Regions from separate parts of the Mus musculus genome. Here all the other regions are reported to be linked to region 1. The links are microRNA targets in miRTarBase. Many come from high-throughput screens and were not tested one by one. Region 1 holds a microRNA gene; each other region holds the end of a gene's coding sequence.

Evidence for each region. Region 1 holds the annotated microRNA mmu-miR-298-5p (GGCAGAGGAGGGCUGUUCUUCCC, at 2,832-2,854, opposite strand). A microRNA usually pairs through its seed, bases 2 to 8, with sites in the 3' UTR of a target mRNA and lowers its output. Matches are read on the target gene's strand: a 7mer-m8 pairs with bases 2 to 8, a 7mer-A1 pairs with bases 2 to 7 and ends in A, and an 8mer does both.
Region 2: the mRNA of Mmp8 is a reported target of mmu-miR-298-5p. Seed matches in the 3' UTR shown: 7mer-A1 at 3,976-3,982 and 8mer at 3,610-3,617.
Region 3: miRTarBase lists 9930104L06Rik as a target of mmu-miR-298-5p. Seed matches in the 3' UTR shown: 7mer-m8 at 2,309-2,315.
Region 4: the mRNA of Ttc26 is a reported target of mmu-miR-298-5p. Seed matches in the 3' UTR shown: 7mer-m8 at 3,726-3,732 and 7mer-m8 at 3,149-3,155.
Region 5: the mRNA of Crkl is a reported target of mmu-miR-298-5p. Seed matches in the 3' UTR shown: 8mer at 2,471-2,478 and 7mer-A1 at 3,612-3,618.
Region 6: miRTarBase lists Slc2a4 as a target of mmu-miR-298-5p. Seed matches in the 3' UTR shown: 7mer-m8 at 1,453-1,459.

The regions. Positions count from the first base shown.
Region 1 is chr2:174,264,722-174,269,794 of GRCm38, forward strand. Mir298 (microRNA 298) reads right to left here and starts at 2,864; the gene lies at 2,783-2,864. Mir296 (microRNA 296) reads right to left here and starts at 2,404; the gene lies at 2,326-2,404.
Region 2 is chr9:7,566,559-7,571,631 of GRCm38, reverse strand. It overlaps Mmp8 (matrix metallopeptidase 8), which reads right to left. Exons shown (of 10, transcript NM_008611.4): 9 at 4,339-4,442; 10 at 3,146-4,197. The coding sequence ends at 4,094. It overlaps Mmp27 (matrix metallopeptidase 27), which reads right to left and starts at 236. Exons shown (of 10, transcript NM_001310717.1): 1 at 31-236. The coding sequence starts at 174. All of the region lies in intron 2 of Gm31751 (a long non-coding RNA gene), which reads left to right.
Region 3 is chr4:124,942,049-124,947,121 of GRCm38, forward strand. It overlaps 9930104L06Rik (RIKEN cDNA 9930104L06 gene), which reads left to right. Exons shown (of 5, transcript NM_177573.3): 4 at 305-423; 5 at 535-2,613. The coding sequence ends at 614. Among named protein-coding and RNA genes, the nearest start is that of 9930104L06Rik, 7.5 kb to the left of the region's middle.
Region 4 is chr6:38,424,325-38,429,397 of GRCm38, reverse strand. Ttc26 (tetratricopeptide repeat domain 26) reads right to left here. Exons shown (of 18, transcript NM_153600.2): 18 at 1,751-4,270. The coding sequence ends at 4,159. Among named protein-coding and RNA genes, the nearest start is that of Ubn2, 7.1 kb to the left of the region's middle.
Region 5 is chr16:17,483,005-17,488,077 of GRCm38, forward strand. It overlaps Crkl (v-crk avian sarcoma virus CT10 oncogene homolog-like), which reads left to right. Exons shown (of 3, transcript NM_007764.5): 3 at 657-4,436. The coding sequence ends at 791. Among named protein-coding and RNA genes, the nearest start is that of Aifm3, 6.4 kb to the right of the region's middle.
Region 6 is chr11:69,938,710-69,943,782 of GRCm38, reverse strand. Slc2a4 (solute carrier family 2 (facilitated glucose transporter), member 4) reads left to right here. Exons shown (of 11, transcript NM_009204.2): 11 at 211-1,497. The coding sequence ends at 414. It overlaps Ybx2 (Y box protein 2), which reads right to left. Exons shown (of 9, transcript NM_016875.3): 4 at 4,456-4,545; 5 at 3,625-3,909; 6 at 3,352-3,455; 7 at 3,016-3,193; 8 at 2,653-2,737; 9 at 2,180-2,557. The coding sequence ends at 2,687. Among named protein-coding and RNA genes, the nearest start is that of Ybx2, 5.3 kb to the right of the region's middle.

The DNA of each region.
Region 1 (5,073 bases):
GCTCGCTGGAGTGAATGGCAGTAACCGCAATTCCTCTGTGTTTTCTCACATTCTATTTACCCATTTGCCCCCTTAACGGCTCATGGATTTTTAAAACATTTTTTTGTTTGTTTGTTTAAACTATTATTCTTTTGTGTGTGGAGGTCAAAGCACAACTTTGTGGAGTCGGCTCTCTTCTTGCATGGGTTCTACGGATGGAAGGCAGGGAGCAGAACCTCTCAGCGAGTTTCAGACATTTAAATGCTGGGTTATAATCCTGGACAACAATTGGTTCAACTGCTCAGTTTTGACTCTTGGTAGCACTTACCATCAAACTTAGGTCACTCTGAGCTCTACAACAGCACATCCATGCTCCAGGTTCATCCAGTAGTACTAAGAACCACCCATTTCCTTCCTCAGAAGTTGGATCCCTTAGTTAGTAAATGGTCTTTGCACCAAAGTCTAGGTAGAACAGGGAGAGACATGGCCATGCGTGTGCATGCCTGGTGAGTCCTACCTACTTTGTCTGTCTGTCTGTGAATGAAGGGAGACTTCCTTATACCACTGGAACCTTTGCTAGGCCACAGGTTCTCATACTTAACTGTCCCAGGCAGCAGGATAGTTAGACAGAGTTGAAGACAGGTGACAACCCACATGCTATATGTATTTTGTTTCCTTTGAATTAATTTGTAATTAAGTTAGGTAAAAAAATCAGTGCAGCTAACAGACACCATGATCTCCCAGTAGAGTCAGTCATTTGTCCCCAGTATGATCTGGGACAAGGTCTAAAAAGCTTCTGCTGTGACAGGATGGGGGTAGTGGCTTCTGGAATCTAGTGAATACAAGCCATGGGAATTCACTTCCTTTCGTGCTCAAGAGGCCCCCAGAATCTCAGTCCAGCCTCATGAGACCAGTGGCCAGGCCAAGGGTACACATGACTAGAGCTAAGGACCCCAGGGGATCCTTGCTCAGAGAGCAGCTGCCCCTTATCCAATTATGTTTTCTCCCAGAGTCTCTCCTGACACATGTGGTGATTTTTGCAGTTCTTGATGCCAACCATTCTCTCCCACTAGTAACACAGCCAGGAGAGTCTTACCTCTTTGTCAAGACAATGGCTACAGACAAGGAAGAGGGTGGGAAGATGAGTGGCAGGTAACACTAAGAAGGAGGCTCAGTGCAGAGGAGTGTTGGAAAAGCAGAAACAGCAGGCCTGAGGACAGCGGCCTATGGCTGGTGAGTGAGTAGCTTGTTGGGGCTTCCCAAAGGAAGAGAACTGAAGTTTATAGAATTCATATCTGAGGGTTTTACTCTAGCTTCTGCTCACGAGACGGCTGATACACAGCCTCCCATTTGGGCTTCACAGCCTTCACTCCCTGTTTAGTGCTTAACCTGCACTATTGGTTTGAATCTTCTTCAATGTCTCTCTATCCATCCATCCACCCACCTACCCGCGCATCTATCCACACACTCATCTGTTCCCCCTCCTACCCCCCATCCCTCCCTCCCTCCCTCCCGCCCTCCCTCTATTCAGAGTTTACTGTACTCTAAATGAAAGGTGCTCCAGCCCTCTTGCAGTTGAGTTAAATCTAATTAATGGGAAGAGACACTAAGAAGCAAGATCAAGCCAGGTGTGTGCTAGAAGCAAGCTGGTGAAGTGGGATGAGTGATGGGCACACCAGGCAGAGCTGGGTAGAGCGCAGAGCACAGATGAGAACAACACCAAACAATCTTTCTTCGTGAATTTATTAGGCAGATACTGTGTCACACTTGGGAGAGGCTGGGTGTGAGTAACTCAAAACTGGGTGCCTGACACCCTCCCCCCCCAGCTCAGTCTTACAGGGGTGGTTCACCAAAATGCCTTCTAGACTGGACACAGCAGTTTATGCCAGAAATGCTGGAGTCTAAGGCATAAGGATTCCAAGTTTTAAGGCCAGTATGGATAATTCAGTGAGATCTTGTCTCAAAAATAAATAAATAAATAAATAAAAAAGGGGGGCTGCCATGAAGACCGGTGTGGATCTGACTGATGTCCATCCCACTCCTGTAGGAAAGAAAAGATAAGTGAAAGGAAAGCAAACAACCACATCAAGGAAGGTCTGGTGCTAGGAAGCAAGTTTCCCAGCCAAGGATACAGAAGAGTAGGGAGATACTACACAAGGTGGTACAAGCCCAGGGAAGCAGGGCACTATTAGCCTAGAGCAGACAGGGTGGGGTCAGGTCTCTGGTACCCCATGAGCACTAACTGGGGGGCAGGACTAGTCTAGCAGAGGCTGCCACTGGGATCAAGCCAAAGACAGCAAGCATTCTCTAGAGCCCCAAGGGACTACTTACCATGCGACGCTCTGCGGACACCTTCAGGAGAGCCTCCACCCAACCCTCTGAAGCGAGCACAACAGGATTGAGGGGGGGCCCTCCAGAAAGGCCCTCTTGTCACCTTCCACATAGGCTGTTCTGTGTGCACACAGATGGAGATCCCCTCTTAGGGGCCCTGCCTCTGTCTCCCCAACCCCAAGACCCTAGGAGGGTCTCTTTCTGTAGTCTCGAATGCCCACTAACCTGGATCTTGGCCCGCTCACCCGCTTCCCAGCTACGTGCGCTCAGAAGCCACTGCATCGACAATGGGAAGGTGGCAGTCTTAGTAGTAGGCTCAGGGCATTATGACAAGACCTCAAAGTTCTCCATGGCTTTTAGAAACATCTATCTCTGACTCCACCAGCTACCTTGATGGGTGGGGGAACTTAGAGGATGAGTTCCGTGTGTCAACCAGCAACATTCTCCTGGAGATCGGAAGGAAGCTGTTGGCCCACTCCTAAGCTGAGAGAAGGCTAGTTCCTCCCAGTCATAAAACTCAAGGGAAGAACAGCCCTCCTCTGCCAAAGGCCTGGGCCTCTTATGCCTCTTGGTGTCTCTTTCAAGCACGGCAGGAACGTCCCAGCCTACCTCAAATAGCTGTGGTGCTCAGGAAGCAGTCAATTGGGCAGGAGCTAGTTAGTGGGGGTCCAGAGACACTCATCTCATGGCCAGATCTGTCTATGACCACTCCATCCAATGGACTCACTCACTTGCATGTAGTAGCACAAAGAGGGCCATGGTGTGGCAAGTATCCTGTACAGTAAACCCTCTTGTTCTATCAAGGTGCCATTATGAACCAATCAAACCATTTCTAAGCAGCCCTGTAGATTCCCACGCTCCAAGAAGGATCCACCTTGCTGGGCCTCTGCTCCAGCAAGACCCACCTCCCAACTCAAATGCCCCACCCCATGGGTGCTGACTGGGTCTCTGTGAGGTGAAAAATCAATCCATACCTGAGGAGGAAGAACCCCCAAGTTCTCCTACTTAGCAAACCTTTTCCTCAGGACTGAATGTTGTGCTCACAGCAGAAGCAGCTGAAGAAGTGCAGGCTCCAATCCTTGAGGCTCCCCATCACACAAGGCTTCAAAGGCAGGACTGTGCTGAGAGCTCAGAGGTGCTTAGAACAGAGAGATGGGGTAGGGAATGTTAAGACATAAACAAAACAGACACACAGCCGCTAAGGTCATAGTTTTAAGCTCTTCAACTTAATGGTTCTGTCCTAGTAGCCAAACAGCCATCAGAAGACATATTTATGGGCAATCTTTTGGCTACTGTCTGACCATGTGAGACACAAGAGCCATGTTTTTGAAAACACAGGTCCTTTTCTAATGAATGCAGGTCGTTAACGAAATAGGCTTGGAAGTCATCTTCTAAGGCCTTTGTCCATGACCCTAGACAAATCATCTTCCCAGAGTTCACTTGTACGGGGCCCTCAGCCAGGGCAAGCACTGAGGACAAGAAATCAAGTCTAGAGACTTCAGAAAAGGCTTCCTTTCTCTTTTCTGAAACTCTTTGGTTGAGCAGAGAAGAGAGACGGAGCAGAGCCATCATGCTCCCACGGGTGCAGTAGAGCAACAGTGGGAGGCAGAAGCAAACAGAAGAACAGTGAGGCCCATCACAGAAAGACACATCTGATGGACACCCACCCACCCTTGATCCCAACCATCAACATGGACAACCAACCCAGGCACCCATAGGTAACAAGGCTGGGACAGCTGGGGATGGTGTCAGGCCCAAGAGCTGCTCAGCACAGAAGGGTCACAGGAATCCTGCGCTAAGTGGCTCTCAGAAAAGGGGTGCATCACCACCAAGCTGTGAGGGGCTGAGGTACTTTGTACTCCCTCTGAAGTCCTCCCCCCAGAGGAAGAGCACAGTTTTAGTGTGAGCCCTTTGCGGAGTCCTCTCCCCTCTGTGCAGTTGTTCCCAATACATCTGACTTGGCGGCTAGAGATGTGGCTCCAAGTGTTGGCCATATAAGCCCCTTTCCCATCACTCAGAAAACAGAGAAATGCCAGGAGGTACACGTAGCTCTCCAGGCTGCCAAGAAGGTGAGCTGGTGACTTTAGAGGTGCTGCGAGAGAAGCTACTGTAAGCGGGCCCCATCATCTTCAAGGACACTCTAGAGTTGTTCCTTCAAAACTGTGTAGCACTCAGTCCAGCTCTCAGCTGCAAGGAGAGAGGATGCTCTGTATCTTCACTTGGGGTGGATGTCTGTCTTATCTGTCCAGCAGACTACAAAGACCCATCCCTAGCTACAGGCTGAGTTGCAAAAGAGCTGAAGATCCCACAAGTACGAGGGAGGGTGCCTCTTGCTTACACTGTCAGAGGCCCCAGAGAAAGCCTCTCTGACTTGACCGTTTCGGTGAACATTGCCCCAAATCCTCATTCGAGGGTAGCTCAGACCTCCATCAGCCCCAGTCACCCCTCAGCTTCTGCTCACATGAAGAACCACTTGACTCCTGAGTGTACCAGAGCCCCTGCAAGGGCAGCTAGGAGCCACGAGCCACTCCTCCAAGTAGACACCTCACATGTGGCCCTCAGTGCTTGTTAAGTGTGCTCCTATGTGCCTTCCTATAGCTCCCAGCCAGCTCATCCCAAACCTATGCCCTCAGCCCCAGCGGCTATCTCCCTCACAGCTCTGCTGCACCGAGGTCTCTGATGGCCTAAACTCAGCTCAGCCTAAGTATCATCTTGGACCCCCTTCAAAAGGCTTTTCAGTGCCCGCCAGGGTTGGAAAATAGG
Region 2 (5,073 bases), not on the chromosome of region 1:
TGTTGCTTTTAGCATTCATTGAAATCCTACCTGGGCCAGTTGGTTGTTCTCCTCATTTTTGTCCTTCCTGTCTGGAGGAAATGCAGCGGAAAGTGTTATAAAATTAACCATCAGAGACAGAAGGCACTTCATTCCTGTCTCTTCAGTTAAAGCTTGTTTCTGTTTGTATGGCATTTAGAAAGTTGACAGTGAGACGTGGCATGAAGTAATCACTTAATTAATAACAGCAAAGCACATTGCCATGAAGTGTCTCATGACTTCGTTTTCCCCTTAGATAAACTTGAATTTTGCAACCACAGTTGGTGATTGCTTATCTAGCACATTGCTCACTTTTGAGCGCTGACAATAGCAAGGCCCCCAAGTTAGTCTTCTGGTCTCAAAACTGGTAGTTTTACTGGTAGTTTTGGTAGGTTGTTATGAATTTTGAAATAATTTACTTTGGCAGAAAACACTAGCATATCTTGGTAGTGTGATTGGAAGAGACAATGGAGTCGGATATTAGTTTAAGTACTGTGCTATGGTGCCTGGCTTCTATATGAGTTCTGCCTACTGAGCCACTTCCCAGCCTCTGTGTCTTTAATTGTTAGGAGTACTGGCTAGTTAAATATGAGTAATTGTTTGTTATTATTATTTATTTTAGTATTATATTTGAATGTTTTTTGTAATGTCTTTTTTATGGTAATGGTGTTAAACATTCTTTTTAAAAATTTATTTGTTTTTTATATCCTAACCAGTTTCTCATCCCTCCACTCCTCCAGTCCTCCCCCAACTTCTTTTTTCTCCTCCACATGTTAAACATTCTTATAGCAACTGTTTGCTTTTTTCTACCAGAATTGTCTCTGGTTTCTCAGAGTTTCTTGTTGGATGTCTGTTTATCACATTGCCAACTTTCAAATGTTTGTTAACTATGTTGTGCAATCTGCTTGGAACTTCTGGGACAGAAAGTTATCTGAGAAGCTGTTAGTACCCAAGGATGGGTGTGGGGAGTTGGAGACCTTTCTTACAGGAGGCAGGGTGTATTCCAGGCTTCTATGGTATGTGATGAGATTTAATTGAACACAATAGGAAAATGCACAATAGCAGATAGTTAATAAAACTCAAAGTGATATTTTGTTTGTGTAAGAGCAGCCGAGGTTTGGTCTGTGGCGTCTAGAGTGAATCACCTCTCTACATCAGGGGCTGTGTGGTTTCTCAAAAGATGGCTATTGAACCTACATTGCAGGTAGCATAAAACAAGGAAGGAAGAGAAATAAAGTTCTTAATATTCTTTGAGGAACCCCACCTGTCTTAGTCAGGGTTTCTATTCCTGCACAAACATCATGACCAAGAAGCAAGTTGGGGAGGAAAGGATTTATTCAGCTTACTCTTCCACATTGCTGTTCATCACTGAAGGAAGTTAGGACTGGAACTCAAGCAGGTCAGAAAGCAGGAGCTGATGCAGAGGCCATGGAGGGATGTTCTTTACTGGCTTGCTTCCCCTGGCTTGCTCAGCCTCCTCTCTTATAGAACCAAGACTACCAGCCCAGAGATGGTCCCACCCACAAGGGGGACCTTTCCCCTTGATCACTAATTGAGAAAATGCCTTACAGTTGGATCTCATGGAGGCATTTCCCCAACTGAAGCTCCTTTCTCTGTTATAACTCCAGCTGTGTCAAGTTGACACAAAACTAGCCAGTACACCACTCAATAGTTAGCTACAAATTTTGGGTGAGAATTAGGTACATGCCGTACCTGTCTGTACGTAAAACTGTAAAGTCTTGGTTGTGCAATAACACTGAAACTGGATTGCAAAAGCAGTAGAGAATGTTGGGGCAGCCACACTGAAGCTCCTGCAGGGTCAGCATCTGTATACCTGCTTTTCCCAGATGGCTAAGTTTCTCCAGAGCAGACCCCCCCCCCCCCCCCCGAGGTTCTTACATACCACCTTCTAGATACAAATCTGGTAGAAGATATCGCTGACAGCACATCTCTGATTTATGCAACTTGCCTTCTTGTGAGAAACTATGAATGTTTCTGTGTTTGGCATGGCACAGAGTTATAGTTTAGAAGTTTAGTAATTAAACACCCCAGAATAATTCTCTCCCATTAGGGCCTGAGAAATGGCAAAGAATTTTCCCAACTCCAGTATAAAGTGTCCTGTGGGATTCTTAGTAGGTGGATGCACAGCCAGATCCCCATAGCAAAAACCTTGGTGACACTCGCTGAGCTCCCCCCCCCCCTCTTTTCCTTCTCCCTGCAAAGAGTGGACCTGGAATCATGCTGCCCTTTCAAAATAATTGCATCAGGGTCTTTGCACAGGGTTTACTTTTGAATAAGCTAAAAACAAGTGCAGAGAAACCTTGTCCTTTGAAATCTAAGTTTAGCTTTTTGTATCTCTGTGCTCACATAAATACGATGCCTAAAAAAATGCCCGTGACTCCGAAGTATGGCCAACAAAATAGCAGGAACTAAACTCTCATCTCAAACATTTGGGTCAGCAAACTCACATGAGCAGCTCACAGAAGTATCTTGCATTTATATCTGTAAAAACTGTCCTATCAGGAAGTTCCAGGAATATGGCATTTGAAGTTGATTGGCTGTGCCTACTGGTTTGACATTGAAGGAGAGATCAGGGAGGGCAGCTAGGAGGTGGCCTCTCCTGTTGCTGTTCTGGGAAGTGCCTCATGGTCACCAAGCAGGCCTTTGATTTGACTTTGTGTTGATTTATTTTCTTTTTTTTAAAGATTATTAATTATTTTATTTATTTACGTCTCAAATGTCGCCCCCTCCCTGTCTCCCTTCCCTTGCCTCTGAGAGGGTGTCCCCCACCCAGGTATCTCCCTGCTACCCTGAGGCATCAAGTCTCTACAGGATTAGGCTCCTTCTCTTCCACTGAGGCCAGACAAGGCAGCCCTTTGCTACATAAGTACCTGGGGAGAGGTATCAATCCATTCTAAATGAACTTGATGGTGGTATTTTTGTTTTTGTTTTGTTACTATTATGTTTTGTTTTTGTTTTTTAAAATCCCTCTCCCAGGAATTGAATCCAGGACCTCACACATGCTAGTTAGGCACTCCTCTTCGCAGCAACACCACATAGTGGTCTTAAGGGTTGATGTACTATGTCAGCTTCCTATTGCTTCTTTAACAAACAATACACATTCAATAGAGCAGAATAACAACTTTATTTTTTCACAAAAGCCAGAAAACCCATATCAACAAGTGCCTCAATTCTGGAATGTGCTTGAGAAAGGAATGGTCCTTTTTTTTAAACCCCTCCTACCTGCCTCTGCCTGGGAACTTATTGGCAAATAGATTTATAGATACAGCCCTCCAGTGTCTGGTTCTCTTTGCTTGGTCTCTTCTATCATGTGCCCATACCTCTGCTGATTCTTCCCAAATCTCCTCAGAATAAAACATGTTAGGAAAAAACTTTAATCTCTGAGTGACATCCACACCTCTCACTCCGTTTTATAAGAACATATGTATGCACTTATGGCTCATCCTAACCCTGTTTAAGGCTGTCTTGTCATTTACACATAATTCATTATATCTTCAAAGACTCTGGTTAACAGCTAGATAAACAGCTGGGGTTAAGATTTCAATGTTTTTTTTTTTTTTTTTTCTGGCATGCAGAGGGGCATGATTCAACACACATTACATATTTTTCATATTTTTCCAACGGAGGAAATAACAGCACTTTTTTTCTGTACAGATAAGGGGATAATATCTATGTGTTTATAATCTTCATTTGTAATGAAAATCCAATGCTAGATTCCCTGTTTGAAGAGATTTAGGAACATTTGAAGCTAGATAAGCAAGTAATAAAACAAAAGGTTTTAGAAGGCAGAAGAGCAGATAATGAAATAGTGAAGAGTAAGGTAGTAAACGGCTTGCTCTCTTTGTGATGCATTCACGAACCAGGGACGGAATATGCAGAAGGAGTTAGCCATGGCTGGGAATGCCAGATTACAAACGCTGGTTCTTCGAAGAGGGCTGCAGAGTTAGTTACCACTGAGGAAAGTCTGGGCAGGACACGTGGGATGAGTATACAGACTGAGCTTCCCTTTTTGTCCTCATAGGGTGCGTGCAAGGACATTTGACATTGCTCAACTCTATGAACAGTTAAGCCATAAATTGCTTCTTGCAACTCTAGTGACTCTGTGACTGACAAAATTAAATGCAAAATATTGTGGTCCACTGAAGAAGAGGAAGAAGGCTGTAAGAAAGAGACACATGTCCAAGTTAGGTTATAGATCTCAGCTCTCACTGAATTCTCACCAAATAAACCAAACAGGATATAGAAATGCAAATGTGTTACTTTAAGATTTTAACAGTGCTGTTAACTTCCCCCACTTACAGTCCTGCAGGAAAACTGCATCGACTCTACAGTTTACTCCTGGGAACATGCTTGGTATGCTTTTGGGGTAACCTGGGTCCATGGATCTTCTTTGATTGTCATATCTAACGAGAACAAAATATCACATGATTTAAAAACAATCTACACAATGACAGTTTTATTCTAATTTGTATAAGTCATAAAGTACTCTCTTACACATGTCCACACTAAGTCTTCACTGTGTCCCATTGGCTGAGATTAGGAACCTTAACGTCTCTACCTAAGGGTATTTTGTTTAGAAAACAGAGGAATGCCATTGATTCTAAAGCAGCATTCTGATTGCTGAGGAAGGGGTTATTTCCCAAAACTGTAGCCTATATTTTCTAAATAATTTACTTATCTGGCAAAAATAATGAATAATGTATATATGTACATGTGTGTATATTGAAAATAAATGCACTTATTAGTATTTTTTAGCATGGAAAGTAATGGGCTTCATTACAACACTTCCTACATAGATACATTGTTTATTTATATTCATGTCTCCATTGTCCTCCTTTTAGTTTCACCCACCTGTCGTCTTCCTTTCTACAGATAATTTCTCTCTTGCTTTCATATTTTAATAAGTTCCTCTTATGCACCAAATTCTGTAAATGATGTTGAAAGCATTCATTTGGGAATATCAGAACTCAACTCATAATATCAACTTACTTCTTTCTCATATCCCACTCTAGTGTGTTATGAGGGTGTGAAACA
Region 3 (5,073 bases), not on the chromosome of region 1:
ACAAAGGAGATTGTCACCCAATCTAGATATGTAGGGACGATCTTCCTCCTGTCCCTCTGTTTCCTATTATAACTGCAATAGTGGTACTAGGTGTGCTAGTGGCGCCGCTAACCCTGATATCGCTAAGCACTGCCATAGGCTAGGCGCTGGAGGCCCTGGTTGGCTCTACTCTCCTGCCTTGATTTCTAATCACATTACTGAGATGGACCACATTCAACAGTAGTCCCATAAGAGCATATGACCTAGTGACACAGATATCTTGTAAGTTCCTTTTTCTTCTGAGCAGTCCTTAACTTCTGGGAAGGTACCTGAAGAGAAAGTACCTCCTCTCCTCCATCCACTGGGGAGACTTGGCCAGCATCCAAGCACTGCCCAAGGCCTGGGACCAGATTTCAGAAAATGAGTGCCAAACTCTTGTGTCAGGTACTGGTGTCCGTCAGTCCTGTGCTGCCTCTCTGGAGAGGTTAGACACACCCCCTCCGTGCTCTTGGGCCTTGATAAACCTGATGCTTTGTCCCTTGCTTCCTGTTCTAGATGTCCTGGTGAGTGTCTCCTTCTTCCTGGAGGAGCCAGGAGGCTGTGCAGCGTCTGGAGATCTGGAGCACCACAGCTGAGGGCTGCCATTGCTACACTAGGCTATTTCTAAGTGAGGGTCAGCATTGCTACCTGACTCACTGGAATAGCAGTGCCTAGGACTTCTCCGTGCTAGGCCATGGCCAAGGGTCCATGACAGCTGCACCTATGACTCTGAGAAGCAGATAGAGGCTGAGGAGACAGGAAAGGCAGTGCTGATAAACAGTGTCCACCAAGGCAGGAAAGGGCAGAATGCAAGGTTGTGTGGCCACCGCTGCCTATGTCATCTGAACCATAGTCTCTGGTTGGCTCAGGTCCTGATTCTGTGTGTGTCAGTATCTGAGTCCTTAATGGCTTAAAGATAGGAGTGGGTCTGGGAGTCCAGGGCGGGAGCAGTGTGTGTGTCTGGGGGGAGGGGGAAAGTTGGGGGACAAAGTCAATCACCTGCAAAACCCCAAAAAGGAAAGGACTGAAGAAAAGGGAACTTTTAAAATGTTTACTCCTTCACCGAAGCTCATTATGAAGCCAGTTTCCATTTCCAAAGTCAGCCACCAGGGGGCGATGGTGCAGCGTGAGCGGTTCTGAATGCCTTGTTCTTGAGGGAGGTCCCCTGTTGCTGTTAAAAGCCACTGAGGTGTCTGTGGGGAGCTGGGTATCCCACCCAGGACTAGGGAGGCAAAGACAGGTGGGTCTTTGTGATTTTGAGATCACCTTGGTCTCTATAGCTCCAGGTCAACCAAGGCCACATACTGAGACTGTCTCAAAAAGGAAGACAAAAAGGTAAAGGGACCTTGCATTGGCCACGGTCTTCTGAGTTTGGGGTAACCGGCCAGGGGAGGGAATGCCGGCTGTGATGGTTGGTTTTTATGGTCCACTTGACAAAGCCACCTCGGAAGGGAGTCTCAGTGAGGAATGTTCTAGATTTGGTTGGCTTGCAGACATGCAAGATTTTCTTAACTGAGGTGAGAAGACCCATCCTGAATGTGAGTGGCAGCATTTCATGGGCTGGAGCCAGGATCAAAGGAGAAAGAGCAGGCTAAGCACTTAGCAGGCATTCACCTTTGATGGTGAGTATGCTGTGACCAGCAGCTGCTTCAGGTTCCTGCCACTGACTCTCCTGTAGTAATGGATTCTAACTTCAAATTATAAGCCCAATATCTGCCAATAGGTGTTATCATGTTTTAGGGTTCTCTAAAGGAACAGGACTAGTGATAACATGAATGAATATAAAGAGAGAGTACTGAGGGCAGCAAGAGTGAGGGCCGGCGTACCTAAAGCAAAAGCTTTCTTCTTCCATATGATGATATGTGGACTCCCACCACAGGGTGTGGCCCAGATATGGGGTGGGTCCTACCCCCGAATGATCCAGATTTAGAGTGGGTCTTCCCACCTCAAATGATCCAATCAAGAAAGCCCTCACAGGCCTGCCTAGTTGCTTGAGTCTTAGTTGATTCCAGATGTCAAGTTGACAGCAAAGATTAGCTATCACATGCAGTGCCGGGAAAGAGACTGAGAGGCAGCCTGGAGTGGTGCCGACCCTTGCCTTCTGTGCCACAGCCACTGCTCGGGGGTCTCAGCTTCCCATGTGCTCTACGAGTCAGGGCTGCCGTGTACAGGGCGTAGTGCAGAGAATGGGTTTATTTTAGCTTTTGATTTTACAAGATTGGGTTTCTCTGTGTAGCCCTGGCTGTCCTGGAACTCACTCTAAACCAGGCTGATCTCAAAGATCCACCTGCCTCTGCCTCCTGAGTACTAGGATCAAAGGCATGCGCCACCACCACCCACCCAGCTAAGGATGGAGACTTTTAAAAAGAAAGTGGCTTTGTTTTCTTACTATATTTTTTGTTTTCAATTAAAGAAAAAATTTAAATACAGAAAAGTATAATGTAAAACCCACCCTAATATTTTGATCTGTATCCCTTTACTGTTCTTCACAAATTTCAAAACAAAGACATTGACACAAACTCATTGTTTCTAAATTTGTGGATAGTTGGACATCTGTAAATAAGTCAATAAAACTGTACTATATAGGCTATATGACATTTGGTAAATATATTACTTTTTTTTGCTCTTTATGCATGTTTGTGTATATGCATGCATGCTAATGTATGTGAGCATATGTGCATGTATGTGTGTGGTAACCAGAGGATGACTTTAGATGTCATCCTTAGGAGTGCCATCCTCCCCCTTTGCGGCAGAGTCTCTCATTGGCTTTGAACTTACCAGTTAAACTATCCTGGCTGGCCAGTGAGCTAGGGGATCCTCTCCCTCCACCTCCCCAGTTCTGGGATTGCCACAGCAACTAATGATCTTCCTCAGCCTCTCTAATGCCAGAGTTAGAGGTGTGCCACTGTGCCCGCTGTTAGTACTGAGCCCTATGCTGAGCCCTGGGTATAGAAATGAAAGAAAGCCACTGGGAGTATTATAGTTCGACAGGATATTTTTTTTTAATGTGTATGAGTGTTTTGCCTGCATATATGTCTGTAAACCATTTGTGTGCCTGGTGCTAACTAAGGCCAGTAGAGGGCATCCTGATGCTAGCCTCCAAGGTCTATTCCCTTATTTGGCCACTTCCTCCAAATAAGGCTGACCACCAGGGTCAAGCTATCAAAGTATTGAAGTCCAGCAATCAAATGCCCCCTTTGGCTCACCTAATTAACCTGTCCAATTAAAATTAAACACCTAATCCTAACCCAGTATTTTCCCTTGGCCTTTAGAAACTGCCATTTTCCTGTGGGCCACATCTGTCTCCTCTCTATCCAGAAGCAGTTGTCTATCCTCTGGGACAAATATCCCTTCCCCGCTCCCTTGTTCTCTGCCCTTCCCCTCTTCCTTGTCCTCTGTCTCCTGTCTTTGCCTCTTATTCGCCACCCTCCTTTGTGCTGAGAACTTGGTCCTGGAGGTCCTGGGGTGATAATGACCTTTTACACTCATCTTAGCTGGGCGGTGGTGGCGCACGCCTTTAATCCCAGCACTTGGGAGGCAGAGGCAGGCGAATTTCTGAGTTCGAGGCCAGCCTGGTCTACAGAGTGAGTTCCAGGACAGCCAGGGCTACACAGAGAACCCCTGTCTCGGAAAAACAAAACAAAACAATACACTCATCTTGTCGGTATGGGTCTGTTTCTGATGAGGCCTCAGGTAATGCTAATGCTGGTGGTCTAGGGATTGTAAAGAATCTGATTCTGATTTGTATTATAAAGTAACAGAATGAGTACAGGTGAGGTCAAAAGCACCGAGGGAGAAGAGAGGCGCTGACTGCATGGGGACCACTTGAAGAGTGCCATTGTGTGCTGGCACCGTGCGTGTTACATTTACTCCCAGAGCCTGGCACCTTAATACAATTCAGAGCAACAGCTGTGTAGAGTTCCTAGGATGGGATGGTAAGGTCCCACCTGTGAGGGCAGCTTGGCCCAGATTGGGTAGAATCTTGAGTTTTTACTTAACCGTTTGTATTGGGGGTGAGGGGCCAGAGGAGATGGCTTTCAGTAAAGAGAGTAGGCACAGTAAAGTGAGTAGGCACAGGGACCTGAGTGTCCTTGGCACTCACACTAAAGCCAGGTGCAGTATCATGCACCTGTAATCTCAGGCCAGCGGAGGGGATTGGATCCCTGGAACTCGGGTTACAGATGACTATAAGCTGCCATGTGGGTGCTGGGAACTGAACTTGGGTCCTCTGCTAAAGCAGCAAGTGCTTTTAACTACTAAGCCCTCTCTCTAGTCCCTAAAGTGCTATCTTCCTGATTATTATTTTAGACTTAAGATCTAAAATAAGTGTGATTTACTTGCTGAATAAGGTACACGTCATCTGAAGTGTAAAATCCAGGGAAGACTTCTCCCCCATCTACCCAGTTCCCGTCATTGCAGACAGCCGATGCTAAGCGCCTCTGGTGCCTCTGTGCAGTGGGTATTCTCTGAGGTGGTCCCTGGTGAAGCCACCTCTGATGCTTGTGCCCTGTTCACTCTTTGCCACCCTTTGATGTGGGCCCCTTTGAAGCTCAGCTTCTAATGAGTAGAACAGAAGTAGGTTACAGAGAGCACTGCTTTTCCAGCAGTTCTTCCAGGGGACCCAGGTTCAATTCCCAGTACCCACAACTCCAGTAGCTCCAGCTCCTGGGGGTCCATTGCCTTCACACACACAAATGCTGCAAAACACCGATGCACATGAGATAAAAATTTTATCTGCTTTTATCTTGGATGCTGCCTCCTGCTCTCTCTTGTATCCCCCTCTTAGGGGAAGTTAGCTGAGATGCTATGAGGCCACCTTGTAGAGAGATGCCAGAGAGGTCTGCTGAGCAACACTGTGAGGGAGTTGGGAGACATCCTCCCTGCACCGGTTGAATCCTCAGATTCAACAGCCCTAGACGATGGTCTGACCATGATGCCAGCCAAGCTGTGCTTGGATTCCTGGCTGGCACATGCAAACAGAAAAATTATTTAAGTCACTATGCTTCAGGGTGCCTTTCCTCCCGTGGCAGCAGCTGGCCTGCATAGGAAACAAAT
Region 4 (5,073 bases), not on the chromosome of region 1:
AGACCCACATGGGAGAAGAACAAAACCAGCGCCCCTACTTGTTCTCCAATCTTCACACACTTGCTATGGAACACATGTGCCCATATACACATAAATATATTAATCATTTTAAAATAGTGTTTGAATCAATTGGGTTAATCAATTGTGAAATGTTTGGGACGGGGAGCAAGCTGTCCATGGGAAGTGATGTTATTTTCTTTGTAGATTTTACTGAACAGCCTGCGGGTCCTTGAAGGGAGGTATATTCTTTGACATATGAAGATTTTGCTTATTGCCAATAATGTTTAGATGACTGCAGCTTTACTTACATTTCCATTTCACCTTTCACGACCTGCCATTATCTCTCATCATTTTTGCTTTTTGAATATTGGTGCCTTTCCTTTGTTGCATGTTCATAACCATTGTGTTCATCAGGAAACAGAGCTTCTGTCATTCCAAGTGTGTCTCTGTGGCCTGCTTAATGACTTTGACCTGAATCCAACCTTGTTTGATTATGGCACCTGCTCTCTCTCTATTTGCATTTTCCCAGTTGCACTGCCACTCGTCTTCTCACTTTAATGATCACGAATTACTTTGTTCTCAGTAAGAGCAAGCAGCCCAGCCTTGGATTTTACTTTGTGATCCAATCCATCAGTCTCGTTGCTTTAATGGATGACATAAGCCCATATACAGGTTTGGACAAGAGGTAAGTTTGAGCAGAGGCATTCGTCTGTCATGCTTTCTCCTATACATCTTTCAAAAACCCCTTCATATTGTCTACTTGCTTCATTTTTGTATAGGTTTTTCTGATAATTTAAACGCTTTGTATTGTTGTGCAATGAGGTAAAGTTAAAATGACCTTAATTTTCAGTTTCTTTGGATCTTATCCACGATGTTAATGTTATTCCCTAAGTAGTAGTAGTCATCACAGGAGCATATACTCTTGGAAGCTAAGTCTTTTCTTTTTACTTTCTATTCACTATTTAAACATTATTGCTGTCTGTATCTCCATATGTACACATGTGTATGTGCAGGTCAGAGCACAGCTTTATAGAGTCAGTTCTCCCCTACCTTCTTCCATTGAATTCCAGGGATTGAACTCAGGACACCCACCAGGTTTTACAAAAGTGCTTCTCCACCTGTGAGTTTTGACCCCTTTTGGAGGTCAAACAACCCTTTCACAGGAGTCATCTAAGACTATTGGAAAACACAGATCTTTGCATTATGATTCATAACAGTAGCAAAATTAGAAGTAGCAGCAAAAAAAAAAAAATGGTTGGGGGTCAGCACAACACGAGGAACTGTATTAAAGGGTTGCAGCATTAGGAAGGTTGAGAAGCACTGCTTTAGAGCAAGAACCTTTATCTGTGGTGCCATCTTACCAGGCTTAAAAAAATAACTATGTTCTGCCTCATGGGGGTGGTGCTCAGCTTTAATCCCAGCACTCAGGAGGCAAAGGCAGAAGTCAGAGGAGTTCGAGGTCAACCAGGTCTACTGTCTGAGCGCCAAGATAGCCAGGGCTACACAGAGAAATCCTGTCTTGAAAAACCAACCAAATAAACAAACAAAACCTGTATTAAATGCTCCTAAGCCCCTTATTTTAAATATAATTCCACTAGATTTGGCAAATGTGTAGTCATGGTATCTAGCATATGCATATACCTTAACTTTCCAGGCATGTTTCATAAAATATAAGGTGGAAAGAGATAAGACACTCAGTTTGACCTCTAACCTCTACACGTGAACACAGCTGCATAAACATGAACACACATGACAAAAACCAAAAAATAAATTTTAATTTAAATATAGTACAGTGGTATGTGATTCTTTTGTTGTACAAAAATAGTTGTAAAAGTGTTTTTTCCATTTTTAAGTATACACTACAGACTATTTTTAAATAGTACATTGCTATGATAGACTGTATAAATTACACATTCCCCAGCCAAGCCCTTCTTTTCCAGGCTGTCATCTGTGAGAGAACACAGTACGAACTTGATGCCCTGTCAAGACAATCAGAAACAATTATCCCTCCTAACAGAATTGAATGTGCTTCTCTTTAACAAGCCTTCATGTTTCTGTCTCAATCCTGTAGATTAAAAACTTTTAACAGTAATCTAAAATTCTGCTGTTGGGGACAGACCGTCTTCTCTCAAGGAAAATGTCAGAGACTACTAAGTAGTAAACTCACAATGTCTCACTGGGAAGTCCATGACTGTGAATGAGTGTCTTTCAGGAAGCTGGAACTGAACAGTGTGTCACTGAAGATGTCAACAGCTCCCAGGAGTTGATCTGCATCCCACTCTTTTGCTTCCAAGTATTTAAAGCAAAATAAGTTTCATAAGAATGATTCACAGAACTATAGCAGGTTTAGTCATATCTGATCCACCTAGTACCTTTGGCAAAGAGAACCAGGTGCTACTGAAAAAGAGGGAACACCAGAACAAGACAAGAAGCTCTGGCATAAGGAAATGGTGCAGTTTTGTTTCCTGCAGTTCTGTTAGACCAGTACTGTGTTTTGTGCTTTGGCCCAATCATATCTGATCCTAATGTAAAAGATGGCACACTGGCCATCTTCTCGGGAAGACTTGTCCCAGGACTCAGAGATACAGAGCTGAGGAACACCTTGGGACTGGCTAGAGATGAAGGCTGTGTTCAGCCTCTGGTCCTGTTGCTTCAGCTGTTTTACTCTGTACAGGTTTCCCTCTCCTTTCTGTGCAGAACTCCCATCTGCCATCTGCAGCAGGAGGCTGGGAAGGAAGAAGAATTAATGGTGTTTCTAAAAATTCCTCCACCTCCTCCTCTGTGCAGTCCCTGCTCTATGAGGATGGGTCTGTATGTTCTAGCTTGTGTACCTCAGACCTACAGAAGAAAATTACAGAGCATACAAACAAGCAGGTAATCTGATACACAAAAAGATGTATGTCTGTTTTCTGAAAGTAGGATGGAAGCCTGACAATACTTTGTTGTAGAAAAAAGAAGTTTATGTGATGACAGCTCAGAGACACGAGGCTGAGATATGATGGAGAGGCTAGCCATTAGGAGGTCTCTTCAAAGGACCTGCTTTATACTTGTATCAATAAATCCCTACGATGTGTTCATGTGTGCGCAATATAAACAGGTACGTATGCTGAGCAGTGGTGCACACATCTTTGATACGAGCACTCGGGAGGCAGAGGCAGGCGGATCTCCGAGTTCAAGGCCAGCCTAGTCTACAGAGTGAGTTCCATGACAGCCAAGGCTACACAGAGAAACCCTGTCTCAGAAAAAATATACATATATATATATTTCATGAAAACTTTCCCAGTCCTATGTTCAAAATTGCTGTTCATTCAGAAGATAGTAAGAACCCTGCCCTGGCTTTGTTTCCTAAAATACAAGGGAGACCTAACTCTGAGACTTACACACCTTCAGAGATGCCAAGTTTTTCCTTTCACTCACCTTTTTAAAACCATATACTCAGCTTGTCTCAACGTAACAAGCTACTCACAGAGAGTGGTCTCATAAGCTAACTAACTACTACTGACTGCTGTTTGGTAGAGGGCCTCATGGCCATCCTCAGAATCACACAGCTCAGAAAGACGTCTCCCAGGAGTCAGAGATGTAGTCATGGATGGGCTAATGTACAAAATGATGGAATATGATCAAATGATGGCAATTCTCTAGTATAAAGGTACTTGTTACTGCAGGTAGGAGAAAATGTCCTGCCGGGCATGGTGGCACACGCCTTTAATCCCAGCACTCAGGAGGCAGAGGCAGGTGGATTTCTGAGTTCGAGGCCAGCCTGGTCTACAAAGTGAGTTCCAGGACAGGCAGGGCTTATACAGAGAAACCCTGTCTCAGAAAAAAAAAAAAAAGAAGAAGAAAAAAGATATGTCCTGAAATGCTAACAGAGAAAGAAAAACAAAACTAGTATCTATTCCTAAAGCCAGTAAATTACAGAATAGTGTTCAGAATGATTATGGAAGAAAGGCACCAGTAGATTACATTGGGTGTCAGCAGGCCAGGGAGATTCCTGTTGCCTGATGCCTAAGTCCACACATACCACCCACTCATCCTAATGCTCTAAGAGCAAGGAAAGAAATGTCAATCAAGCAGGGTCCTGGATTGCATATTCAAGTGCAAGAAAACAGTTCCAATTTGACGTGAGAGGAAGCTGGTCCTGGCCTAGGGTTTGGCTGCTTAGATGGGCACTCTATTCTCCTTGGCCCACTTCTTCATGATCCTGATGATATACTCCACTTGGGTGTTTCCTGTGCTTCTCAGTAAATGCAGCACTTCTCGGAGGGTCTCTCTGAGGAAAGGTTTTAGAGAACACATTTTTTTTAATAAAGAAAAACTAGCGATCTCACGACATAGTACTATATTGCAATGAGGTGTCTGTGCTCATGGACCCTCCACTGGGCATTTCAAAGCTGCTACTTTTCTAAGCCATGACAATGGGTTGCTTCTTCCACATATTTGCTCAAAAAGGGTTCAAATATAATATAAATGAGAATAGCAGTAAGGACCAGAATTTGGTGAATGCCCAGCATTTGCACTTTAACTAATACATGTTTTAACTTAAAAACTCGTTTTATGTATGCATGCATGCATCCTTATGTATGTGTGTATCTATGCATATATATATATAATCTGTGTGTATATATGTGCATGTATGTATGAGTATATTTGCACTATGCAAGTGCCCGAGAAGGACAGAAGAGGGTGTCAGATGCCTTGGAGCTGAACTTACAGGTGTCTGTGAGCACCTGACATATGTGCTGGGATTCACACTGTGATCCTCATGACTGAACAGCAAATGCTCTTAACCACAAGCCTCCTCCAGCCCCAAGTTAAGATTTATTATAATTAAAGCTTGGAGTTTAGGTGAGGCAGGCTGAAGCTTCTCTGGTGTCTCATCAGAGATTTGGCAACTGTCTGTGGATTTGCTCCCCATGTGGTCTTGTCTTTTTTGTTTGTTTGTTCGTTTTTTCATTTTTTATTAGGTATTTTCTTATTTTACATTTCAAATGCTATCCCAAAAGTCCCCCAAACCCTCCCCACCCCCTCCCACTTCTTGGCCCGAGGAACCTCCTGCATCTGACTAAATGCTTG
Region 5 (5,073 bases), not on the chromosome of region 1:
TCCCACGGAACTTCTCACCAGCTCTAGATTGTTTTTGTTTGCTGTAGTGGTCTTTTAGTATGAAATGCTTTAACACATTTGTGCAGGGGTCATGCTAATTATCTCTGTATCATTTCAGTTTTACATAAATATACTGTCAGAGCAAGATGGTTTTATTAAGTCCGTGCTGGTCTCAAACTGAAGGTCCTCTTAGCCTCCTGTGTGTTGTCTGTGGGGATTATAAGCACCACACCTGGCTACTTCCCACTTTCCTCCCAAGACAGGGTTGCTCTGTGTAAGCCATTGGCTGTCCTGGAACTCGCTCTGTCCATGAGGCTGACTCAGAGATCTGCCTGCCTCTGCCTCCCAAAGACTGGGATTGAAGGTATGTGCCACCAGTCCGCACTTCTTACCCTTTTATTCAGCTTAACATGCACGTTCTTAGAGTTGGATGCTCATACATGTCCATTTATTAGTAACGCTGGAGGGAGTGGCTGCTCTGTGTTCAGAGGCTGCTTCCTGAGTTTTTGCCAGCGACAGGTATCCTGGGTGGTTGGTGGCATCTCGTGTCTTTGTACTACTTGATTTTTGTATAGACAGTGTTTGTGATTTAATGTAAACTGTCTTCCTTGTTTGTAGTGATGCTAATTTTGTTTTCTTTCCCTCTTCCCTTACAGGTTGGTGACATTGTGAAAGTCACAAGGATGAATATCAATGGCCAATGGGAAGGCGAGGTGAATGGGCGCAAGGGGCTTTTCCCCTTCACACATGTTAAAATCTTTGACCCTCAGAACCCCGATGACAACGAGTGATTGCTGTGCTGTCCCTGCTGCTGCCTCCTTCTGCCTGTCAGTCTCCTTTGAAGTGGGAAGCACTCTGTCACATGCAAGTTACACCGAGCTGCTGGCGGTCAGCTTTCCATACATTGGCAGTCCCTGCACATACGGAATGCCTCAGCAGCTGCCTTGCTCGCTGGCTCGGCATTTGTATCATAGTCATGCTGTCAAAGAGTAGCTGATTTAGAGTTCTTGTGGATTGTGAACTGGAAACACTGGTGGAAGCACACAGTAGAGACTGGAACCCAGAGCAGCTCTTCCTTCCCATCCATCACTGCCTTGTTTGTACTGGAGGCTGACAGAGAGAGCAAGCAAGCCTGCTGATGGTCTGCATGGAGACGGTGAGGCTTGGCAAGGTCTCGCTTTGCTGGTCCACAGAACAGTGGTTTTGCCACCAACTCAGTTTTCTTTGGACGACAGAGGAAGTAAAACTCCAGACAATTCTGTCCCGAACTCCTCAAGTCTGGCTGGTTTTCATTTTCTTTTGTTTAGTTTTGTTTTTTGGAAGACTAATTAATTATAGTTGTGTGTTCTGAACAGATTTTTAAATAGTAGGTTGGTCTATGATGGTCTAAGGAACAATCCATGTCTCTGAGCTTCCAAACTGAAGCCACTGTACGTAACTAAAATAGGAAAAGACCCCCTCCAGGGGCCTTTATCTTTTGGTTGCCACAGTACCTTGTTTACCATGTGGCAAACAGTGCACAGCAGCAGTCATGGTGTACCTTGCTGTGAAGCACCAAGGTGGGGGTGGGCCTGCTGTCATCGCTGCCTCTGACAGGAGCAGACAGGGTGGGCCTCTTCAGTGAAAACGTTTGAAGTCTGTGGGCTTACTAGATCCGTGAGTTAAATTGCATTGCTGTGTTCCACCACAGAGGCCACCCAGCCCTTCCTGTACTGACCTAGCTTGTCCAGGCAGCTTGAGAGTGGTGTCTGTTCTGGTTCCACAGCCTGAGTAGAACCAGAATACAGTGCTTCTGAGCAAAAGAAGACGCCCCTCGATCATGAGCCATTTTTCCTTGCATGTCAGCTACTACAGATATGTGTCTGATCCCTCATCCACACATGGCAAACCAGAGCTCTAGAACCTTTCTAGAGTGCACTCTTTTCAGTTGGACCCTGATGAGGATACACCTCCACACAGAACGAACGTAGCAGACCTAGAGATGGAGTAGTGGCTAGTGAGCAGCTCTAGCATTTACAGAATATCTTCTGTAACCATGGCCCTGGTTCTGCAGGCCTGAGGCTTTGAGAACTAATGGAACATATTCAGGTGACAAAACCAACAAAACCCTTTGTCCACTATATTTATTTCTCTTAAAGACTTTAAATTTTTGTTTATGTTGGGCATGGTGGACACACCTTTAATCCCAGTACTCAGAAAGGCAAAGGCAAGTGGATCTCTGAGAGTTCAAGGCTATCCTGATCTATGTAGTGTGTCACAGGACAGGCAGGCCTACATACATACCTTGTATCAGAAGATGGCCCAATCCCCCCCTCAGACCTCCCCCCAAAAAAAACTGTATATGGGTGTTTCCACTACATGTATGTATGTGTATCACATGGGTAGTTTGTTAGGAGGCCAGAAAAGGGTGTTGGTTGGATCCTCTGGAACTGTGGAGTTACTCTGTGGGTTCTAGGAATTGAACCTGGGTCCTCTGCAAGAAGACCTTAACCACTGAGCCATTTCTTGAGCCCCATTAGTTTCTCTTTAAATCAGTAGTCCATCAGGCTAAGTTCTATAGTAAAGAATGTTCATGTGACAAAGTAATGGTCATTTGGGGTATGGGGAGTGTCACGTCTGTAGAGGTTACTTCTTTTTGTCTCTGAAAGCTGCCATTTCTAGCCAGACCTATTGAGTGGACTTAAGTGTTCAGGCCCCAGACTCTGCCTAAATCAAGATTTAAGACTTGCCTTCTGGCCAGTTACACAGTTTAGCCCCAGGCCTTTGATGTCTCCACTGGAATACACACCTTGTTCACTGAGGGCACAACCCCCAAGGGATACCCCATCACTGGGGCCTGAACCTCATGCCTTACACGTGCTAGATAACCGGCTGCCAGTAAGCTTTTGAAATCCGAGATGGGATCTCTATAAATTGCCCATGCTGGCTTCAAGATTTCCATCCCAGCCTCAGCTGAAATTATAAAGGTTTGAGTCACCACACCCAGCTCTTAAGGTCTTTTAAAACTACATTTAACTGAAGGGCTTGGTGCCTTTTGATTATAGCACCTTGCTTAGCATAAACAGCCATTTTTGAGAACAGGGTTTCCCTTTTCCCAAGACTGTTGACCAGCAAGACTCTAAGGAATACTTCATGATCAGAATGTCCCATAACCCTGGAGTTTGCTTTATGTAATCAGTTAATTTGGCACATGTAAATGTCTATGCAGCTTCCTCAGAGATCCAGATCTCAAAATAAAGACTTAACTTTCTGAACTCTCAGGATACGTGCGTGCGTGCCAACAATAGTAATTCTCTGACTTAGAAGCTCATCGATTTTTAATCATGGAAATCTCTCTCACTGATAGAAAGCAGCATCTTCCCCAAGTCCCACTCTTCTGGGAAGACCCTTGGTTTCAGGGGAGTACGATGGAGGCTTCCTTTTCTCATCATCAGTGCTGTGTGGTCTGCTCTGCCATGTTGTAGAAAGTACTGGGATGATAAACCCACTTGCTATGGCTGTTGTATCTGAGAAGGAAACAATTAGGTAGTTGAGGGCTTTAAGGGCTAGTTAGTCCTGGGTGACAGCCCCCCACCTCCACCTCCAACCCCATACAGAAGGCATGCTTGTCACTCTGCACTGCTCTGATGCCACCTGTTTCGAGGTTGACAGGGTGTCCTGGCTTTTGTCATCCAGACGTAACCCTCTGTGCTCACTGGAAGAGACTCTGCCCTCTTTTCAAGTTGCACGATCCTGGCACTGTGCCAGCCTTCCTCTACAGCTGTTTACAGACAAGATGGGCCAAGACTGATGGCCACTGCTCTTGTAACCTTTACTCAAAAGAATAATGAGCATTTAAAAAAAAAAAAAGGGATGATGTGTTTTTGTTCCAGGTGTTCATAATTTAATCTTTTAATATTATGTTCATTAACCTCTTAAAATGAGTGAATTCTTGATTGTTTTAACACAGTACCTAAGACTAATGCTTTCTGTGGACTCCTCACTCTGGAACCAGTGAACCCCTCCCTGGTTAACTGCTGTGAGCGTGGACGCTGAGCTGCTTGTATATTCTGAAGGAGCAGGAGGACAGTTCTGAGACAGGAGGACAGTGGCCTTGCTTCTAGACGGTCTTCACTGTGTGTTTTAAAATGACATAAAACTCTTTTGACGTGTATAACTTAAAGAACATAAGCATCAGGCAATAATATTTTCTGTGTAAGCTTTTAAAATTATTTTTGGGGATCATAGCTTGTTTTATTTTGTGCTATAAAATTAACAGTATTAAATGACTTATATTCTTAGAATACATTGAGTGTCTTTTCTTAACAGATTAGTGCCTTTTTATTTTTGTATTCCATTTTGCGTTACTGGTCCCAGCATCAAAACCCTTGTTTCCATGGCCTGTTTGTACATTGTCTCAATAAAACTTGCACCAGCCGGCGTGGCAGCAGCCTCGGTGTTTCAGTGTCTCCTCAGTCAGCCCCACCAGACTCTCCCAACAGTTCAACTGTGCTGAAGCCCCTGGTACTCCCCAGAGACCCACTCACGCTGCTCCTGCCTCCCTCATTCAAAAATGACAGCTTCCTAACATGGGAGCCTCCTCCAAAAGGAAATAACTCTTTTCTGGGTGTCGTGGAAGCAAGCACTTACTCAGCATTCCGAGCAGGAGGTGCACTCGGGGAACCAGTGGGTTGCTTGGTCCTCGCCCTGCCTCAAAACAACCTTCTTTGCAGGGCTCATGTTTCCCTTGTGTAAACCTAACAAGCAAGTTTCATCCTTTCCTTTCTGTCTGCCTGTCTTATTTCTCTACCACCTTAGGAGGCAGGGTCTGTATGTAGCTCTGGCTTCTCACTCTGTCCTAAAAGAGTGGGAGGCTTGCTAGCTCTCGCTCTCCAGCTCAGGCTGGCCTCAGACTTCTGGAATTACAGGTTTGTGTCACTGAGCCTGGTTCGTTCATTGCTGGGATAGAACCCAGGACTTTGTTCATGTTAGGCACATACAGTACCACTTAAAAGAGTAGGAAGCCCTGTGCTGAGGTGCCCTATGGCTGAGGAGCATGGGATTCCCCGTTTTTCCAGGCCATAAGCTGACCCT
Region 6 (5,073 bases), not on the chromosome of region 1:
TATAAGTGGTTTAGAAATCTACTCCAATTGTACACTTAGGAGAGCAAAGGGTAAAAAAGCTAAATGAGATTTTCAGTGAAAGCTTTCATTTCTGGTCATTGCCACTGCCTCTTAAGGGAGCAAACCTGCTCCTCACATAGCCCCAGTTTCCTTAGTCTTTGGTTCCTGGCTTCCCATCTCTGTCAACATTTCTTTCTCCAACTGTCCCAGGATGCTATGGGTCCTTACGTCTTCCTTCTATTTGCCGTCCTCCTGCTTGGCTTCTTCATCTTCACCTTCCTAAAAGTGCCTGAAACCAGAGGCCGGACGTTTGACCAGATCTCAGCTGCCTTCCGACGGACACCTTCCCTTTTAGAGCAGGAGGTGAAACCCAGTACAGAACTTGAATACTTAGGGCCAGATGAGAATGACTGAGGGGCAAAACAGGGTGGGAGAGCCACCCTCTCCACCCAGACTCCCTCCTTTCCTCTACAGCACTTTAGCCCTCTCTTCCCTGTTACCTCCAGGTTGAAGGAACAGCAGCCTGGGGAACTGGGAAGCTGAAGGGAGGGGTGGTCCATGTACCCCTCATTCCCCCTGTGTGATTCTTTTGGATTATTTATGTGTGTGGCTAGGCTGTGGCCACCTAGATGGGCTTTCTCCGTCCTGCCTTCCTCCTGCCCCTACCCAGACTCAGCTCTAGACTACTTTCCTCCCCTTTCGAGAAGGGGTCTGCAGGAGGGTGGGGTGGCCCTGAATTCATCAGGATAAACAGCAGGGGTGGGTGTGTGAGCGAGTGCTTTCCTCCCACAAACTGGCACTTCCACTGAACTCTTGCCACACAGGCTCTGGGTGAAGGGGGTTGTCTTGACCCCTCCAGGGCAAAGGATACACCCTCCCAAAATCTAGCCCTGCCTCCCCACAGGCTCCACCCTCCCGGGCAAAGGAACACAATAGTACATACCTGACAGGGCAAGGACGGTTAGAGCGCATCAGTCTCCATTTGGGGCCCTAGGTTGTTCCCAGGGCTGCAAAGCGTAGGTACCAACACTTTCTTGTTCCCCTCCAGGAAGGGTGCTAAACCCGAAAGCTTCTGACCAACTAAGGGCGGGAGGGGATTTGAAAGGCTGCCTATAAACACTGGTTGGGAGGGAGCCTTTGGTATTTTTGTATGTTTTGAAGAACGGATAGGGAGCAGAAACCCAAGGGCTGCTGTATTAAATGTGTATATAGAGATTCGTCCATAAAGTCACTGTTTGAAGATGAGTGTCCTGTGCTGGAGGAACTGGAGGGTGTGCAAAAAGAAAATGCCTCACTCACCCTTTGCACTTCATCCTTCCTGGGCTCAGGGCACCGAGGCCTCTAGATTCTGTCACCTTTTTTTTAGGGGGGGGCGGGTTTCGAGACAGGGTTTCTCTGTCCTGGAACTCACTTTGTAGACCAGGCTGGCCTTGAACTCAAGAAATCCGCCTGCCTCTGCCTCCCGATTGCTGGGATTAAAGGTGTGCGTGTGCCACCATGCCCAGCTGTCACTTATTTACATCCACTTTCATTGCCCTCCTCCAAAAACTAGGGTTTCACTGCATAGCCCAGGCTGCCTTGTAGCAAACCTCTTGCCTCAGCCTTCCAGAGAGCTGGTTTGCAGGCCTGAACCCAAATGCTCTACTTTTTAAAACAATTTGTTTTCTGGAAACAGAAACGTGGCTCAGGATGACCTGGAATTAGGAATCCTGTCTCAGCTCTCTGAGCGCTGGCACATCTTTCTACTTTGATTTTTATCCACTGCTTAAAGATTTACTTATTTTATGTGAGTACACTGTCACCGTCTTCAGACACACCAGAAGAGGGCATCAGATTCTGTTATAGATGGTTGTGAGCCACCATGTGGTTGCTGGGAATTAAACTCAGGACCTCTAGAAGAGCAGTCGGTGCTCTTAACCACTGATCTATCTCTCCAGCCCTTATCCACTGCCTAAATGAACAGTAAGTGGTTTGTAAACTGTATTTACAAGTGCCTGGGCACTGCTGAGACTTCACCCCCAGTAACAGATCCAGTTACTCTTGGTGAAAGGGTTCATGTCACAACTGAATAGCTAGGGGTACTGGAGCAAGGAAGTACTAGCAGGCCCTGCCCACTGTTCGGGTCTCAGCCCCACCAGAGAGTCTTCATCCTCAAACAGAAGAGCCAGAGACCAGGACAACAAGAAAGCCTGCTTTTGTTTTTACTGGAGGCTCAGGTGGCACATGACAGTTCATAAAATGGCTTCAGAGGTGTTGGGGGGAGGTCGAAGGGAAACAAAAAATAAATGGGTGGGGAAGAAAAACAATCAGGAGGAGGTATGAGCTGGCTGGTTCCTTCTCAGCCTGACTAGGGAGGGAGGTGATGCCTCGGAACAATAAGGATGGATCCCTTCCTTCAACCCATGCTAGGGGAGAGGGAAAAAAAAGAGAAAAAAGCCAAAGGCTGGTGCTTTGGCCCTCCTGAGTCTCAAGGGAAAAGCCGATGTTTTGATGTCATGAATTATGGGAAAGTGGGGAGGGGGATGCTGGGTAGAGTCAGTTGGAAACTGGCAGATACCTAAGAGAAAGAGAGGGAGACCAATCATAAAGGGTCACTTGGCAGAATCCACCACCCCTCCCCCTCTCCGGCTCTTGGTGAGATGTAGCACTCACCAGATGGTAGCTCTGGGTGTCCTCTGAGTTGGAATCACTCCAGTATGGTGGTGGGGGGGTCCCCACTGTTGATAGGCGCGGAGGTCTGAAGAGCAGTGGTGAACTGAGACTTACTTGTTTACAGCCCCCTACTTCAACCTTTTCTTAACTTTCCTCTTCTCATCCCTTCCAACCAGTTCTCACACTTCACACCCCAAAGATGGGCATGGGGATGGGACATGCAAAGGCACCCTGGGCTTGACTTGCCTGCATAGGGGTTTCCTGGTGAGTAATGCCAGCCAGGGGTGGGCCAGGGAGGATGCCAGAGGGACAGGGACAAGGAAAGTAGAGGTGCAAAAGGACAGAAAGTACCAAGACCCTCACCTCTGCGGCTATAGGCTGCCGGGGGCCAGGGGGCTGCTGCCGACGCCGCTGGAAGTAGGGACGGTTTCGTGGACGCTGGGGCTCAGGCCGGGAGCCATCAGTGGGGCCTTGGCTGGGCTTGGTCTCTCCATCCCCACCTTCTGTGGTAGGCTGTTGGGGTGGCCTGGGGCGGAAAGGCCTAGAAAGAGAAACAAGCTGACAGGATCAGAGAATTGGGCAGACTCCCTTCCCAGGATTCCTTGGTTTGTCCCCATCTGTTCCAGGCTCTAGAACTTTTGTCATTTCACACAGGCCCAACACTGGACCCTGAAGGGGAAGACAAAACAACAGTCTTACCTTCGGTACCTGGGCCGGAATCTGGGTGGGGGCACCCGTTCATCTCCCTGCTGTTGATCACCCTCCAATGGTGCTGTCTCCTTGGGTTCTACCCCATCAGAGCCCTGGGAATACACAAAGGCCTAGGTGGGCTGTGGAACGCCTGATGTCTTTGGAGCTTCCTTGCTCTTCGTTCTACTTCCTGTGAGGACCACAGTCTCTGCCCTCACAACTCCCCAACTTCTTTCCATAATGTAAGAGAACTAGCCTCCCCGGCTGCAACTCTCCTCTCACCTCTATGGGCTGTTGCTGGTTGGGGGGCCGAGGGCCTCGCACAAACCGCCTTCGATAGAAGAAGGGTGGTGGGCGCCGTCGTCTAGGTCGCTGCCCCGAGTCCTCTGCCCGCTCCCCTTCGCTGCCAGGTTCTGTCCCACCTGAGGGAGCCTCTGCCACCATAGGTGGTGGGGCAGCTGGGCGAGGCCGAGGAATGAACCTCCGGAACCTACGTCGATTAGGGGCATAGCGGCTGCCCTTCACTGGTACCCCCCCAGGCCCAGTGACATTAGCAGCTTCTGCACCCTGGGGAGGTAGAGGGGGAGCAATCAGAACCTGTTCTGACAACACACACACACACAGTACTTACAAACCTGCCAGATCACTGGTGTCCCACTTCTTCAGGCCCAAGTCCTCTACCCTATCACTCCTCAAAACCACTCCTCCTTTGTCCCCTCCCCCGAGGGGCAGCAGAAAGAGTTTGTACCCATCTGAGAAGAAACAACTTGTCCTTAGAAATAACTGCCACATTCCCCCCAGAGTGTAAAGACAGGACAGGATGAGATAGAGAGAGCCACTGTCCCTCCTTCATTCCAGAGGACTGACTGAGGGTCCTGTTAGGGCTGGGGTCCCGTGTAGAAAACAGACATGGAAGTGCTTGGTGAACTAAAGAGAAGAAACCCACATGTTACTGGCTGGTGACAGGGATGGGTTCTTTAGGACATGTCCTAGAGCAGCTCTAGCGTTCACAGGCAGAGGCAGAGCTGGTCCCAGGAGGGCCAGAGCTTCGGCTGACCTCCAGGCCACCCTCCCACAGTTCTGGCCAACTCCACCCCACAGCAGCACCCAAACCTTCTCTCCTTCCACGACATCAAACTCCACAGTCTCCCCATCTCCAACACTCCGCAGAAACTTCCTGGGGTTGTTTCTCTTAATAGCTGTCTGGTTGGGGGGAAAAGTCATGAGAAAGGTGAGGGCAGCAAAGCCAGGATCCCTTGGACCAGCTTCAGCCTCCACCCAACTCCACTCTTGGTGACATTTTATTGGAGTCTAGGGCTGGAGGGCAGAGCATGAAAATGGTCAAAGGGGGAGGGGGAGGGCCTGGAGCACAGCTCCACAAGACAGAGATATATTAGTAGGGCAAAGTCAAGAGCTAGAGGTCTGAGGGAGCCGCTATCCCCAAGATGTCCTTCCTCCCCACTGTACCCCTCAAGGACTTCAAGACATGGAGGCAGTAGGAACTCAGGAGCAAAACAGGCTGAAGAACATCTCAAGTTGCAAAGTGGGTGAAACGTGCTGTGCTTCTTACCTCGATCCCACCGAGCACTTCCACCACAGCAGTGGTTCTCAAACTAGCATCAGAATCACCTGGGAGCGGGTCAAAACTGAGTGCCCAGGCCCCGCCCCGCCCCGAGGCGGATTAATTCAGTGGCTTGGGGCGGGGCCTGAGGATTCAGGTGATGCTGCTGC